Drosophila melanogaster: one gene and its partner. The protein of the gene in region 2 interacts with the protein of the main gene of each other region in a pairwise test. Each region holds a gene or a part of one and is shown on either strand. Other genes may lie near its edges. The genes, in order: dar1 and Sf3a2.

Region 1 (9,839 bases), 9.2 Mb from region 2:
CGTTTCTACTTCGCTTCGAGTGGGCTTGAAAGGTGATTAACGCGATCATAGAAATGATGTCGGAGGAGTACCGCACTGGGGGCTCATCTTTCCAACACCTGAAGTGGTACAGGGAAACGGGAATTTAATGAAGCACTCCACTGGGAGAAAATATCACCCGAAATGCTAATCACTTAATTCAATTTAACATCAGCTTATTGAAATGAAAGTCCTTCAGAACTTTTGTGACTAAAGGCTGTATAAGCAAATATGAAGTAGTATATTAACAGATAAAACACTACGACAATTGAAAGCGAGCGAACCAATAGGTAATATACTCTCCAAATAATGGACGTTATTACTAACAATAACAATAAAAATGCTTCGAGACCTATAATGTCAATTTTATTAGGCAGCAAAGGATGAATCTTTAAGATAGTACGGGGAGGTTATTAGGATATAAACGATAAAAGAGAATAAAATTTGTGACAAGCATTGTTCATTTGTTTATTTTCGATAATATAATAATATAATGAATCTTTTTCTTTACAGGTTTAAAATGATTTCCGATTGATATAGTTTTTTCTCGCTGTGTCGTAGATCGTTAGATGCTTAGATCATGACTCTTTCTTTCTGCGCTTGCGCACGCGCTAAATGTCAAAAAAGTGCCCATGAAGCTCGGGAAGAATCAGCCGCCTGCTGTTCGCCGCCGCAGCTCCGCTTTCCGCCATGCCACGCCCCCCGCCCTCACCTGAAAGTGACACGCCCTCAGGCGGGCCGCCCACTTGGAACATGTCGAATCATTCATTCAACGCAACGAAATGTGGGCTGCGAGGTGTTGAAAGGCGAGAGGCGAAAACCGAAATACAAAATCCGAAATCTAAAAGGCATTTTGTGTGCATTTGTAATTTGTGGAGCTGCACACAGCATTGCGCTGTCATTATTTTCTGTAACATTTAGCAAAATCATTAATAATTGTTGCCGCCGCTGCAGCGACACAGATACGCACTTAAAAATTGTCAGACAACAGTGACTATGCCTTGGTGTTAACTTGATTAGCATTCGTATAAATTCGCATTCGCAGTTGCATCTTGGCCGCATTTGCATAGAATGCACATTTCGGGGACCCAATTATTCGGGGTAACTAAAAGTCTTCTGATCTTGATCGCCTGAGCTGTTAGATGGAATTCGAGGTGGCCCCAATTCCAATTCCCCTGGCTGAGATTTCAATTACCCTCGCATATTATGCAAACAAATAAATTCGAGCGATAAGGTTAAGCCGAAGAAATTATGAAAATATTTCCCAGAAAATGCGCAGACAAAACAAATTGCCGCGTAATCTCTGGGACCCTTGCTCTTGGAAGAAATAACAACTCCAGGTTGACAATGCACGGCCCGAATAAATCGAAATCATTTGGGAACTTGTCCTTCTTTATCGGCAAGTGCCGCCAAGTGGAATCAATCAAGCGGAGAACCATTTCCTTGGAGGCTCTCAGATCGTGTTTTTCATATTATTTCGATTCCGATTTCGAAGCGTGACAATATTTTGGCCACAATTCAAACGAACTGATCTCGAGGGTCTTCGGTGGGCAATTAATCATGTCGAGCTGGCCGATAAGTTCTGCTCGGTCGAGTGCAGTGAATTTCTGGGGGGAGAGTCCTCGAATCTCCAGTCTCATAACAGGTAGTACCCATCGACATCGATCTTTGTGTGAGGTAAGAGCTGAAACAGGGGCTTCCATAAATCCCGCAGATATCGCTGGCGGGAAAATCAATTACTCTACAAGGATGTGCGCCTCCAATTTGAATATTTATGGTTAACTGATCGGATCTCGACATAAAAGCGCCAAAATTGATACATTACAGGCTTTTTTTTTACGGGGATTTCGGTAAAAACGTGAGTAAAGAGGATATAAATATGTCATTTATAAAGAGAAGTAAATAGAGTTTAAAATGATTACAGAAGGATCTAAGGATGGTATATACTCATAGACAAGTCATTATTAAACAAAATTTAGTTTTTTGTGCATAAAAATCGAAAAAATTGTCCAAATTTGGAAAGTTATACCTCGTTGTGCTCAGATCTTTATCCTTTACAAACACAAAACAACTGCCATTAAAATGTGTAAAAAAAATTTTTTTGACCATTTTCGAAAATTTTGATGATGGTACCCCTTACAAAAAAGTCGAAAAATGGGTAAATTTTTTTTTTTTCAAAAACTCTTAAAAAGTGATTTGGGTTTTCTTCTTAGGTTGTCGGGTGTAAAAAACAGTGCTTCTTATAGCGATGTGTCTTATTTTGACTTAGTTATAACATAATAACTGAAAAACACGCATTTTCGTTGTACCCTTCAATTAATAATTTAATTTACAGTGCCATAGATATTCTAAAGCCCCTTAATCATAATATGCATATTTAAATCCCCAGAGCGCGCATATCTTCGTACTCAACCGCTTCATTCTAGGCCAAAAGCGTTATAAATTGGCTGGCATTTGTCAACCGGCGAACGGAGTCAAGTACGGGCTTGGAAATGTGTCTTTGGCATATCTCACGGATGCCAAACGTAAGACAAGCAGCTCGAGAGCAAACAAAAGCGCGAAGACAAACAAATTCGAATGTATCTGAGTATCTCGGCTTGTATCTGCAGACGTCTGCGGTGGCATTAATGGCAAATTTGCACGAAGTCAATAGCGAAAGCCGGGGAATACTACAGTCAATTATCGGTGGCGTCGAATATGGACGAATGTATCTGCGAGTGTAGATACTTTCGTATCTGACCATGTATGTTGATGTTTTTGTTTTTCCACCTGCGTGTAGCGTTGTTGTTGTTTTTTCCACTTACTGCCACCGTGTACGCAAAAGTGTCTCGCTCTCTCTTTCTAACCGCATGCCCCGTCCCGCTCACTCGTTGTATCTTGTATCTCGTGTTTCTCGCTCTTTTTGTCGACCGCCGATTGGCTGACTTTTGAGTCTGCGCCGCTATCCGGAGAGGCCACACCTCTAAAAACCCCCTTAGAAAACCACGTTTGCGTGTTATTTCAGATACTTTTGGCCCCCCTGCACCAACCATTTTACCCCCCCGCGCGCGGAAAACATAAACTTGTGGCTCCCTAATGGCCAAAAATAAGGAAACCAGGGGGATGAGTCGAAATGAAAATGGCTTTTATGTGTGGCGTGCGTTGGGGTAATTTTATGATTCAGGGAATTACACAGGGAAATGACAGTCCTCGTTCTTCTTTTGCTTTCCACCTGGAATATGTAGATACAGATACCTTTTAATTGTCGCTCTATTGATTTCCCCCAAAGAAAGCACATAAGCTGACTTAATTTATGCTTTAATTCTATTTAATTATGTTTTTTTTTTACCATCTAAAACTGCATGAGGTCTATGAAAGATTCGCGTGTTAGCTGGACAGTTTTTATTTTGTTTAGGCTCTATCTAAAATGTGTCAAACTTAATGAACGGTGTAGTAAAGCGGTTTTAATGGGGGAGGTTCTGTTCGGGGATTATGCTTTGTATGTTTTTGATTTATTACTCCTTAAAGGCTACCAATTTTATACCTTAAGTTATAAAACTTATAAAAAAAGAACGAGGTCCTTAAAAAACACTCTGTCGTATAAAAGTTCTTTACGGAAATCAATTAAATCAAATCGAAGCCATATATGTAGATTTTATTTATATAAACATTTAATTGTAAAGTTTTGTAAATTTAAATGATATTCTAATTGATCGGATTATAATAAAATTATTACTCTAAAATTAATAATTTTTATTTATTTGTTACTGAATACTCCATAAGGGACTTATAAACTTTAATTTCTAACCTCCTTGCCCTATTTCGAGATCTTTTCTGAAGCGTGGTTACTTACTTTTTCACCCATTACCACCTCTACCGCAGGTCAAATCTAAAATGGCGAATCCCAGGCGGTTCATTCAATTAAAATCGATCGCAGCTCTTATACTCCAGTGTCTCCAATAAGATCAGCTGGCTGGAACACACCTGAGAGTCGGATATAAGAGCGACAGATCACCTGGGCCGAAAGTGGCGGAGAGCGGACCAGGTGAGCGGAACACCTGGTGAGCAGAGTATCCGACAGATACAGATACGAAAGGTGAGCGAGAGCGGCACAGAGCGGGCAGTGGAGGGTTAAGCGGCGGGGGTTAAGCGGCAGCTAGCTGACTGGCTTTCTGACTTTCGAGGCTCGTCTGCGCGAAACCCGCGCTCGTCCAATCAGTACGAACTCGGTTCCCGCCAGCGCAGTAACAACTTCGCCGACGAGCGCGTGAATCGCCTAAATATCCACTCAAGCAACACAGAAAATAAGTTATAAATTGAAACCCGCAAGTGCCTTACCATTATCTGTAGAATATTGCAACGAATTTACTGCCCATATATACAGCATATCGAGAGGAACAAGAGATACAGATACAAATAAGATACAAGCCGAAGCTCATCATCGAATGCGGAAGTGAGCGAAAGCCGCCGGCTTTTATTAATTTTGTGCAATTAACGCAAAGGATACAAAAAATCAGTGTGCAAACAAAGGGAAACAAAAGAGTGAGAGAAAGTGATCGAGTGCCTTCATTTGCATATCCTTGCAAATTAAATTAATTTAACAACAAATAACAAAAAGCAATTGAATAATAAGAAAACGTGCCGCAATGTCTGTTGCTCGCAGTGCCATGTCAAGCTGAAGTATTCAATAATAATCCCGAAATTCGATTCCGAATACGATTTTGAATTCGCATCCGAAATTGATTAATCACTGTGCCTTGAACTGATCGTGACTCGTGAGTCAGAGCAGCGCCATTTAATTGTCCGCAAACACAAAAGTACGGAGCCCAGTTGCAAATTGTCGGGTTAAATATTGGTAGAATATCGGTAGAATCGGTGGCATCCCCTCCCCCGCCAGGCATTCCACCTGGCCAACAGTCGAGTGAAGGAGCTTCATGCGAAAAACGCCGCTTAAATGCATACGGATATCATAATTGGTGATCAGTTTGCCGCCAACAATAACTACTGGGTGATGCAGGTGAGTTCGGTTACTAGAATATTTAATTAAAGGCTACTTAAGACATTCTGGAAATTCCAGCGAAAAGATCTAGAAAACTTGATCTTTTGTAATAAATAAAATCCAAATAGCAGATAGATATTTTCTATCAAATAAAAGGCAGTGTCGAAATTTCAAATATCAATCACTTAAATAAAATTCCCTAGCTTGATCAACATTCAAATGGAAATATATCCAACTATTATAGAAAGAATATGTGTGTCTTTAAACAAGGATGAACACATCACAAAGCGTTTAAATATCGTAATCATTAGCCAATTAATTTGCAATCACAGGTTCCTTGTCAAACCCAATTCAAATGAAACAAAAAAAACTTTACGTACCAAAGTGCGCTAATTAAGCCGCTTTTATTGCAAATTAATTTTAGCCAAATTTGACAACAATAAGCGAGCACACAACAAATACGAGAGCTTACAAATCACATGAAAAACACCTTAAGCCCAACAACTTCCGCTTATCAAAATGCAAATCTTGAACAGACCAGATTTTTGACGATTTTTGTACGAATTCGAGTACGAGTATAAATAAAACGCACGCGGCAATCACAAATTACAATAAAACCGAAAACAAATTAGCTCAATTATCGATTGAGATGAGGAGTTGGACTGCGTAATTTTTGAGTGTTCTCGAGTGTGTTTCGACAGAGATTAACACCTTGGATTTCCTCAGGTGTTCCTTCGGTTCCTTCGCCGTTTTTTCCCCATTTTTGTTTTTTTTTGTTTGTCAAATGCGACAATCGATTTGTAAATCTTGTTATCACCTGCAGGAACTCTCGGCTCTTAAAGCCGTTCTCAAATACACGGTCGGTTAACTCTTTTGAACTCATCCACACTTTTCACGCGTTCCGCAGGGAAACTGTGGCGATCACAGTCCATCCGATGCGATCCGATCCGCACTCCTCCTTTCGATATCCATGTTTGCAGCCTGTTTTTCTGTTTTCCCGGCTTGTTTGCCTCAATTGTTTGACTCGCGCTTACTTGCGAAGCTCTGGGTAAATATTTGCCCCCAACACTTTGCCAATGTGCCAAGTGTCCCCAACTGACTGACGAGATGGTTTCAACACGGTTCCTACCCGGGAATATATACATATAGCTATAGCCTGATCATCGACTGGGTGGCATTGATCGATGGTATTGGATAGTATGAGAACATAATTACAAACGGCAAGGGTACATACGTATGAGTAATATGTCTTTCCGAGGAACTGTTTATCCTGTTTATTGCTGAATGTCAATAAATACTTTAGAGTGAAACTGATCGCACAGATTGTGGTTATTAAAGTTATCGAGTATAGGTTAAGTTTTTAGGCCATACTCATTTACCATGAATTAATTTTTCAAAGTATACGTACTTTTTTATTACCAATAATCTTGAGCCTTGATTATCTTTCTTATAAATTTTATGATGTGTAGGCTATCTTCCTAAATTTTCCTATCATTCCCTGTCTTATTGCCTTATCTCAACATTTTACAACCGTTGGTCTACCAGCCTTACGCCCATTGATAAGTTCAGTTTCCCGCAGAAAGTCTAGCCTTGCTCAACAAAAGCTCTGTGTTAAGTGCCTCCAGCTGCCCTCCTCAGAACACTTCCTTCCCCCAGAGATAAGGATCGAACTCCGGGAACCTCAGCGAAACAGATATACATACATAGGTACAGACGAAGAAACCCGAGACATTGGCGATTCCGGGTAAAAAGGCATCGTAAAAGAGCTGGGTGTTCGACAAGTGTGTTGTGCTTGTTCCGCCTGTCACCATCAATAGCTGCACTAATTAGGCATGTGTTGTCAAATATTTACACACAGTCGCAAAAGTACAAAGCGCTGTTGGCCCCCTTTGGCCCCCTGGAAGCCCCATCCACTTCCTCCAGATAGTGTAAGCTTTTGGGTGAGGGGGTGGACTTCTTCCGTTTTCCACTGATTTAACAGATATGATGAGATATGGTAAGGTAATTCCCACGACTCACGGCGATTATGACGAAAAACTTTCGTATTTTATGGCTCTAAACGAAATTAGTTTACGATCGCTTACAGGGAATTAGCTGCACTGAGTATAGAAGTATCCAAGTATCCGAGTATCTGCGTATCGAATACATTCAGTGAATAATGGAAGTAATCCAGCACGTAGCCAGGCGGTTATAGCGCCGACTTTTGCGGCTCTGATTAATGACCCTGAACCATTGTGCTTCAATCGTAAATAATTAAATATAGATAAAAATCAGATAACTCTAAGTTTGAGCTTTTGAAAAAAAAAAGGGGGGGGGGGGGTGTTTAAACTAAACGGGCCGAAGAATTATGCAAATTATTTAAGACTAAACGAAACTTGCAGTCGCTCCAGTGATTTGTCAATAAAAGACATTTACAAATATACCAAATGAAACGTATATGAGTTTATAGCCTATCTGAATCAATAGGAAATATTTGCATTTGCGAATCGGAATCAGACAAAGGCGGCCGCCTTCAAAGAATCAAAATCGGTGCTGAAATTTAACAAGAATTACGGCAATTGCCTTGCCGTCTGCTCATCTGAGCCATAAAAAATCGTGGCAAATTAGATAGAAAACAGCCGAATAATGGCCCGATAAGATAATGATATCCCTAGTAGACTTTCCATTTCGAAATGAGTTCAAGATTGGATCGAGCCCCCGAACAAAACACCGATTGCCAATTACACACCGTCCAGACAATGGCAGTTAAATAATAACTGGAGTAAGCCATGAAAACAGTTGGCCAAAATCTCATTAAGGCCCAGTGGGAGATCGCCCATCAATCGATCGATTCCTATGCAAATCTCGCCAGTAATTTCTGTTTCCACCATAACAATGCCAAGTTTTTAGTGTCTAGTCTTTGCCATATTTTGATTTCGCCAATTCATGCAAATGAAAACGAAAACTAGCACACAAATGCGCCAAAAATGGCACAAAAAAGTCGGGAAAAAAATATCATTCATTTGCAGCCAGTTTTGATTGATTTGCCGCCTGGCCAAGTTGGAGGTCAATCGTGCCGCGAGAATCAATCACTCACAAGCCACTGGGTGCACATAGAATTTGCGGTTTTCTGGATAGCCTATTATTGAGAATTAAGGAATTATAGTTGAAAGAAGAACTGTATTATCCTTTAGCAGTATTAAGCCACCATCTTTAATTTCTTCGCATACCCCTTGTGCTGAGCTTTAAAAACCAATGTCTGAAATCATAATATCGACTATCCATCAATTTGGATTTTTTAAAAGCTTTTCAATAGAATCCTCACTATTGATTTAACCCAATCCAAGCTCTTGTTCCCTTCTTTCTTACCCAATGTTTATGGCACGTGAGTGAGCATTTATTGACCAAAGGCAACCCTTTTGACCGGCTAATTTCAACATTTTTTTTCGACTCAGAAAAAGTATCACCTTAAATCTTTGATAGATTGCCGGGCCTAAGGCCCAAAAAAAAAAGGAGAAACATGTTTGACTTCGGCGAATTATTGCGAAAACTAGTTTGCCCAAAAATAAGAAAAAAGGCTTTTATGCTCACAGAGGTGCTAAAACCCCCACAACATTGAAGCGCAATTCGTTTCAGGTTTGATGGGATCAAAAGCTCAGCGGATGACAGCGAATGAAATGAAATAAATTTCATTTAAAGCTCCGATGCCGCATTAAGATCAATTATTTGATTATGAAACAAAATCTGCGTGAAATCTTCGAATAGTTGACCCAAGCCGATGTCAAATGCCGGCGCTGTAAATTTCAATTTCGCATCGAATTCATTTCCACAACAAGGTGAGAAAAAAAAAACACATTTGATCGGGGTGCGATGATAAAGCCATCATCGGATGGTCTCCATCGCTCGATCAGCTCGATCGGTCGTAAGGCCCCAACAAAGGTTCAAACAAACCAGTCCGACACGAAATCAAATTGCAAATTTAAATTGAAATCGAAATCACAGCACATTTCGTAAGGCACTATTGTATATAATCCGTGGACCGATGGGCGATATCCCATCCCAGCCGCATATGCGTCTAAAAACACTTCAATTCACGTTATGTGCTTACTTAACTTTTATCACCCGGCCGAGATTTCTATGATCGATCGCTAATTGCCAGAGTACAGAAAGGTACTCGAAATGGCTATAAGTCAAGAAGAAGCGCCAGGTACGAGTGGACAGCATTGAGATCTCTTCTGGGCAATTGACCCACTAATAGGGCCTGTCAATAATCGCCTTTTGGCCATTGAACTTTCGACTCTGGCCCCTACTACAAATTTCCTGAATAACACAAATTAATTGCCCGCAAATCCTGTGTCCGACCGATCAGCGTTTATTCAACAGTTTCATTTCAAATATTTATTGATTCCACACAATCTACATGTTGCGCATGCCAGTTGAGTTCGGCCACCAATGGGTTAAGAGCCCCTCGACATGGCTGAACGCTTTTCCAGCTCTGATCGGAAATTGGTTTTGTAGGCCCTGGGTTTCAGGGCACTTCCTGTGCTATGTTATTTGTAGTGTTCTGTTCATAGCTTCACTGGCCACCCCAATATATCCGAATATTATGATTGCCTAGCGTGAAATTGTGAGAATATTTCCAAAACGACGCGTCAGCGACATCAATTAATGTTTTATTATGCATTCCTGTTTGCCCCTCAAGGATATCCAGGGATATTCAATATCCCGGTGATATGTAATAGCTGTGCGAATGGTTTTATGCAAATGAGAGTGAGCGGGGGTGGAAAACTAGTATGTATAGTGGGGAAACTACATTTAGAAGACTCTAGGGAAGTGTCAAAATGTGGTGGAAAACTGCTGTTTT
Region 2 (8,078 bases):
TGGGTTAGGTCTCGTTCCGATGATGATTTTGACTGAATTTTATCTTCTTTTTGGTAACTTATTTCACTCTCATCATCTTTGTCCTCATGGGCTTGGCTTTTCGCTGAATCTTCATCTTGAACTGGACTGATTTCTTCTTCACACTGCTTCTCATCTGCTGGCACCTTTGGATTGTTTTTAACACTAGATAAATTATGATTTATTTGGTCTGAGCTCGTGCTAGCTGAATTGTCATTTACCTCGATTCCTGGGACTCCGTATCGATCCTCCATCAGGCTGTGATCGATAGCCATCGCCTGCTCGTCCTCCTCCTCAAAATCTAACTTGGCTTTCTTCACTTCAATTGGCTTTTGGATGCTTGGTCTTTTGGTGCGTTGCACTAGATTAATTTTAGCTTTTTTGGATCTGATAGGTGCCCTTTTCACAGGAGGATTGACCTCCTTTAAGGGCTCTGGATCTGACGCTGTCTTGACCTCTTCCAAAGGCACTTGTGATTTTTCGTCACATTTTTTTGGCAAAGTTGTGATAACAGTTGTTTCATCGTTGGCCTCTTGAATTGAGGTCTCGGTTACCGAAGATTTCACATTTTGCAATTCGCTTGCAGTGGTATTATCTACTGGGTTTGGGAAGTTATTGTGTATATTAGTGTCCTCCAGAGCTGAGTCTCCCACTTGTAAGTCCACCAATGGTGTACTCAATGATGTTACACTGCTTTGCATTTTTACTGCGTTCGGGCTAATCCTCAGTACATTTGTACTGTCGCTGCTTATATCCAAAGTAGCATGCAATATATTCATATCGTCCATTTTAACAATCTTTCCGATGGGTAGCTCCTCCTCCTCGGGTTGCGTAACCGATGAACTAGCAAACGAACATCCTCCAAATCCAAATAGAGCACTCAATCTTTGCTCTTCCGGTGAAAGATCCATAAAGCTGCTTTCATCGAGCGGATTTTCAGCGGTCAATTGAGCTATGAAATCTACAGCGGATTGGATTTTATGCTCTGGTGATGTGGCCGCAGAAGAACTCGATTGTTCTTGACTCACTGCTGATGTGTCCGCTTGAGAATGCATATCACCTATTTCTGTGTTCGGTTCCCTATTCAATTTGGATATTAAAGGAACAGATTGAACCAAGTCGGCGTTCATATCTTTAGGTATGTTTTCTGGTTCAGGCAAATCAACCAGGTTCGATTCTGTGGTAACCTCAGCAGTTAAATGCCCTCTTTCCGAAGTTATAGGAATATATACAGGAGTACTTGATCCAAGTGCATTCACCTCTGGATAATTGATTGGTTCATTAAAGGACTTAAGAGGGCTTGACTCGGTAGTCGGATCAGGAGTTGAGGGAATATATACAGGAAAATCAATTGGGTTAGCAACTGCCATAACTCCTTCCGTTTCTAAATTGGAAACTAATTCTAGTTCCACGGAATTAGAAGTGGCCTGATTTGGTTCAGACGAATAACGATTTCCAGGTGTTGTAGGCACTGATGTGGGAAAGTCTATTGCCTTGTCTTCAGTAGACTCATTCGATTCAATAATTGTTTGTTTTGTTGATTCTACAGGTAATGGATTTGAACGAATACTTGAGCCAGCTGAAAAGTCTGTTGCTTTATTTGGCTTTGGATTATACAAAGGAGCAATATTTCCTTTCAGAGTTGGTGATGAAAAGGGCGACGTTCGTTTTGGTTGAAGTATTGTGTTAATAGTGAAATGAGTATCCATTGTGGAAATAACATCCTTTGAATTAAGTGTTTTCATAGCTTGAGGTTGTTTCACCTGATCCGCCTGATTACGAATCTCTTTGGCCATCTCGGCCAGTTTTTCCCGTGAAACCTTAAACTTATTGGCGTTCATAATAACCTTGCCCTTGATCACTTTAGATTGGATATTTGGTGTTGCAGCGCTATCCGGAGAATTTGTAGCTTCCACCGGAGCATTGGGCAGCCGAAGCCCACTCAAATCGATTTTCTCGTTGGGTGCCAACACCTTATGCTCCAGCACAATTAGCGGCGGTGTTGGACTCCTATGAAGTTGTGTGGGAACCGTAGGAGCTGCTCGAGCTATAGGAACCTCTGGAGGTGGATATGGTTGGCTAAAAACATTCGTAGTTTGCTGTACTGGAATCCTCTGTGGACTTGGGGAAACTTGATGCACTGTCCCGTGCGGGTTCACTAAGGGACTGTCACTCGATACGCACATGGCTCGATGTTTGGGCAGCTGATTTACCAAATTGAGCAAAAGTGGCGGCTGCTTTTGTCGGACAGTCAAGTCCGCCTTGGCAATGGACATGGAAGAGGCTGCCGGAGCTGGGGAAATCCCGCCACTGCGAGGAGCTGTTTCGTGGCAAACAGGTGGTGGCATCTTAGGCGCTGCTTTGGAAGTTGTGGGCTTCTGCTGAGCCTGCGTGTTCGTGATTAAGCTCTTGTTTAGTATTCTGTTCTTTAATAGCGCCTTCACTTGTTTGGAACGGTCACCATCCGTTGGATTTGGAGTCGGCTGGATGGGCACTATCTTCTCGATGTGTTCCGAGATCATAAAACGCTTTACTAGAGGCTGAGGTGCTAAAAATTATAAAAGTGAAACATAATTAATAAAGGAAACTATAAGCAGAAGAACTTAGGAGCAAAGTTAAAGGAGCACAGTTTTAAAGCGAAATAAGCCATCTTATACATAAAAGATGCAATTCATTGTTAAAGCAAACATTAAATAAAACCATATAGAGCATGTATTAGCAAAAACAATCGCACACACAAACGGCAGTTTGACCGCAATGGGATTTGAACCCGGGCCAAAAAGGGAATTATGTTGCCTCGCATCGACGCTTCGTCCCTAACCTCATTTTGAGCGCGCACTTGACGATTGAACCACCGAAAGAGTACGAATTGTTGTGGCACGAGTGGGTCTTGAATCTAGTTTGCCAGACGAGTAGTCAAAAAAAATATTTACCCTTTCAAGGGTATCATATTTATGAATTAAGCTCATTATCCCTATTTTACAATTAAGTGTAAAATTTTATTTGCTTTTGACCAATTAAATTTTCATAATTTATGGCTTTACGTAGTTAGTACTCTATCACACAACAACAAAAATTAAATGATTATTGATTAAACTCATTATTCAATTGTTAAAATTTAAAAAAAAGTTTTCGTTAAAAACTTTTTGTGTTACATTTAACAACAACGACAAAAATATTGAAGTGTTCTAGTATTAGCAGTATATTTCATCTCATTTCAAAGAAAAGTACCAACTAATCTAAATGTCCCGAATTAATTTTTTTTTGGTTTTTTAAATTTATTTATTAAAAGAATATTAAAATATACATAAAATATCCTTGTAAAACATGTGATTCTCTTGGCTTATTAAAATATCGATCGTTTTAAATAATTAAATACCAAATTATGTTATTCAATATAAATTTTATTGGCAGTATGTTTTGGAAATAATAACGTCCTGTTTGACAAGTGAACATATTGTAGATGTTCAGATACAGATACAGATGGTTAGCCATCCTAATATTTCTAACCTATAGACCTGAATTTTTAACAAAAATAGACTTTTTTAAACTAAAAAAAATTATTTTAGGTTGCCATTCGAAATACGTAAAAAATAAAATATATCGAGATACACGAAAAGAAAGTGAAGGCGCCGCACTCACTGCGAGACGAACTCAGAACAATTAATACAAAAACTAACTCTTTGACAATCTGTCGGCGTCTCAATCAGTTGCACCATCGTTTTGGTTTTCGGTACTGTGCCCAAAACTCGTAGAAGCATTTAGACGATTTTCGTATCACTTGGTACAAAACCCCTGGGTTTGTAACGGTTTTTTGGGCGATGCACAGCTTAAAGCAAATATATATATATACAAGTATGCATTACCAGGCTGACGCAATTGTTGTTGTGGCGACTGCAATTTGCTCTCTGGCGCAGTTGGCGTCGACTGCGCTGCGGCAGAGGTGGAAAGACTGGTGGACGATGGGGCGTCCACCCTCTTGGCATCCAGCTTCTGCTTCCTAAGCACCTCGGCCAGCTGCCTATCGAGTCCAGCCTCCTTGAGCTTGTTGAAATCCAGCTGAATCTTCTTAATTATTCGCTTGGGCGGAGCTGCAGCAGTTTTGGTGGCGTGTGGAGGAGGGGCGCTGGTGGGATTACCGGGCTTCGGTTGATTAGAAGTGGTGGTCATTGGCGCCGGTGGACCCATGATGACCTGTTTGCTGGAGTTGTCCATTTCGCGGTTACTTTAAAAATCGCATAAGACACTGGCACTGTTTATTCCACGAAAATGACGACAGAAATCGAAATTCTTAAACACTCGTTGCTTCGATTTTTCTCAAGTCCGACGTAATCCACGCAGTGACATTTAAATAAAACACGCTTTTCGAGGCCTAGTACTTGTCACCAACACTAGTTTACTTTAGTTTAGATCGCTGTCTAGACATTTTTCACTTTTTAAATTCTAAAAAAGATCAAGCATGTGCAGCTCGAATTAATAGTGTGACCGCTTTGAAAAAGTAAAATATTCTCAAAGCTTCGGAACGAAAATATACCAAAATATTATATGTAATTCTTTAAAAAAACATCGCAAAAGGAATATATAAGTTATTTTATGTATATTACAGTTTGCAAAAATTTGACTATCATTAAGAATTTTAATGGATTTATGAAACATTCTATTATTTATTTAATACTTTAATCCTGCACACGAACTATCGATTGACTCTGATAAACTACCACCCCTAACCGAATTGGCGTTTCTTGACAACCCTGTTCTGTACAACAAATTTTCATGAAATTTTACCAACGCAAAACGTTTTTCCTTCGTGCGGTTGAAAACTAAAATAAAGTTTACAAAATGGACTTCCAAAACCGCGCCGGCGGCAAGACCGGCAGCGGAGGCGTAGCCTCCTGGTCGGAGACGAACCGCGACCGCAAGGAGCGACTGCGTCAACTGGCCCTGGAGACAATCGATCTGAACAAGGATCCGTACTTCATGAAGAACCATCTGGGCTCCTACGAGTGCAAACTCTGCCTGACGCTGCACAACAACGAGGGCAGCTATTTGGCCCACACGCAGGGCAAGAAGCATCAGGATAATCTGGCAAGAAGAGCCGCCAAGGAGGCAAAGGAGGCACCCTCTTCGCTGCTGGCGCCCGAGAAGCCCCGCGTGGAACCGAAGAAGTTCGTCAAGATTGGACGACCCGGCTACCGGGTGACCAAGCAGCGTGAACTCAGCAACGGCCAGCAGTCGTTGCTCTTTCAGGTGGACTACCCGGAAATCACGGAGTCCATTGTTCCGCGTCACCGCTTCATGTCCGCCTACGAGCAAAAGATCGAGCCGCCAGACCGCAAGTGGCAGTACCTTCTCTTTGCCGCCGAGCCGTACGAGACCATAGGGTTCAAGGTGCCGTCCCGCGAAGTGGAGAAGAGTGAGGGCAAGTTCTGGACGCACTGGAACCGTGACACCAAGCAGTTCTTCCTTCAGTTCGCCTTCAAGTTCGAACCTAAGATCCTGCCGCCACCGCCGCCGAATCTACATAGGGCACTAGGCCCCCCAGGCGGATTCCCCATGCCGGGACCGCCACGTCCTGCTATGCATCCCATGTTCAATGGCGTTCATCCACCGCCACCCATGCTTTCAAACAACTAATTCATCGACAATGTTTACGGGATTTCTCCAAACGCAAGCCGATTACCACAGAAATATTCAAATAATAAACAATTTTCTACTTAATACAACTCGAGGGTTTTTGTATTTGTGTTTCTAGCTTAATAAATTGAAAAAATATTGCTGGTTTTCTTTGTAGCTGTACGACTTACAAATCGATCGCGTTTAAGGTAATTATCTTGGATTCTATAATTTCTGCTTAAATTAGGTAATGTACAACTTATTAATACACACTTGGCTGGCCATCTCCGTTCGTCAATTACTTTTAGATCTTTTCGCGCTTCTTGAAATTCCTTTTCGAAGCGCAGCGGGTGATTATATTAGAAACGTGTGGCTTATGCTCGAAGATCTTCATTAACTGATTCTGTGCCTCGTTGATGCCATCGGTAATAATCTTGCTGCGTTGAATGTTTCCCTGCAAAGTAAATTGGTTTTATGTTGAGATTCAAGCATAATGGATATAAGTATAAGAGCGCACCTTTAGCAGTTCAGTGACTCGCTCAATTTCGCTGTGCTTCTCCTTGTCCTTTTCGAGATCCTGCAGCATGGTCTCCAGCCTGCCCAGACTAAAGACTTCCGATTCATTCTGTAAGAAATCAGTTCAGTCAAAGTAGCCTACCAATACTTTCGTGCCCATTGCTTACCAAGTCCTCCATTTGCGAGCGTAAATGATAAATTTTCCATCCATTGATTTTGCCCTGCACATTTGGCTGATTGGCCAGATCAATGACTGTGGCCCGCCGCTCCTCCCTTGGCTTAACATCAGTGTACCGATGAAAATGATTGTTGGCCAACTTATGTGTGGGCTTATACGTCTGTAGATCAACGGAATCATTTGTTAACTACCACAAAATGAACTGAACCTTCAACTTACATTGAGCAAAGCACAATTGCGCGGACGACGAATCACAAAGTCGACGGGATTTGCGTTCTCCTTGTTGCCCGCCACAGCAGGTGTACTGTTCCGGTGGTTGGCATCGCCTGGCGCACTGTTGGGAGCAACACCCGGGGTCGCTGCTGTCACCAGTAGTCCTCCATTGTTGTGCTTCTGCATGTACGAAGCGCCAGCCGGCGGCGTTGGCTCCGAACTTGGAGGTGGCAGCGATAAGGATGCTTGACTCTGCGTAGAGTGCTGGCTGTCATTGCTGGCAAATACATTATCAGATTATCAACATGCATCATTTGATACAACCACTCAAATAACTCACGTCGATCGTCGCGGCTTTTTCCTAGAGGAGCAGTCATAACTGGAGCTGGAGCTATTACCAGTACCATTCATACGCGTTCCTTGTTGCATCTGCGTCGATCCCACCAAATGAGGCACCTGCTGAGGCTGCTGTTGCTGCGGCGTTGGTGCTTGCACATCCACAAAGGCACTGCTACCACTGCGGGCTCCCAGTGAGGAGTGACCAAGGTTCTGCTGAATCGATTGGTGTGATGAGTACATCTTTTGAAGAACAAATATTAAAGCCATACTTAAGCATATATTGATTGTTGTGTACACACCTCATTAATGGGATTAAAATGCGTGGAATTATCGCGCCCACCAGCGCCTCCCGTGGCTGGCTGATCGCCAATCCTGTCCTGTAATTGCTGATCCACACCAGGTGAGGAATTCGCCGACACTGTAGTTGAGCCGTCCGACGAAGCCGGCGAGTCCGCCCTCGAATTTCTCGTTGAGTTCACGGGGCCAACTGTGGCAGGCACACTAGCGGCGCTACTTGCTACACCATGGGTGACTCGCTCCCGTTCCTTCTTGGCCAGCGCCTCTACGGTCAGCCCAGAGCCAACTGATTGAGGCACTGTCACGGACACCGGCTGAATGTTGAACGTGGTGCCCGGAGCCGGTGGCATGTTTTGTCCACTGTTATTGCTAGCCATTGAAAGCAAAGTGGGTCCTAGATTTTTAGCCGCCCGTATTGGCGAACCTTCCGCATCCCGCTTGCGCATAAAGCTGGACACCAGTGCTCCACTTGCAGTTGCTTGTTGCGGATTGCCCGCTCCCGTGGTCACCTTAACGGACGTATGCAGCGGAATAACCATGTGCTGCGGCGGCGCACTATTTGGTCCTGCTGGTATTATCAATTGCTGGTGGCCAATGGTTCGGGTGGCTGTTCCACCAGCCCCCGACGGCAACACCGTAAAAGTAGCCTGCGATCCGCCGCCACCTGATCCCGCTCCGGCAGTCGCGTGACTTGCAAAGGGTAACGAAGATACCGACAAGCTGCCACCGGCGCTGCTAACCAATTGTGCCTGCGCCTGGGTGCTCTGCGTCACTGTTGTCGTAGTCAATGATAGAACGCCTGTGGAGGCGGAGGCTGGCATAGATTCGTAGTAGATTGTGGCAGCACTTCCCTTCTCATCGATCTGTATAACGATTTAGTTTTAATAGTTAATTGAAGCATCAT

Evidence for each region.
Region 1: the proteins of Sf3a2 (region 2) and dar1 interact in a two-hybrid assay, tested with the Drosophila melanogaster proteins (one large-scale study listed by BioGRID).

The regions. Positions count from the first base shown.
Region 1 is NT_037436.4:3,622,131-3,631,969, forward strand, and holds the start of dar1 (dendritic arbor reduction 1), read left to right. Parts: upstream 1-4,221; 5' UTR 4,222-4,951; coding exon 4,952-5,014; intron 5,015-9,839. UniProt on the Drosophila melanogaster protein: Transcriptional regulator which promotes dendrite growth by suppressing, either directly or indirectly, the expression of the microtubule-severing protein spas.
Region 2 is NT_037436.4:12,810,687-12,818,764, reverse strand, and holds Sf3a2 (splicing factor 3a subunit 2), read left to right. Parts: upstream 1-4,745; 5' UTR 4,746-4,857; coding exon 4,858-5,652; 3' UTR 5,653-5,737; downstream 5,738-8,078. Other genes in the region: CG42588 (uncharacterized protein), read right to left, coding at 1-2,566, 3,885-4,233; Sap130 (Sin3A-associated protein 130), read right to left, coding at 5,936-6,085, 6,149-6,256, 6,315-6,485, 6,545-6,815, 6,879-7,117, 7,177-8,037.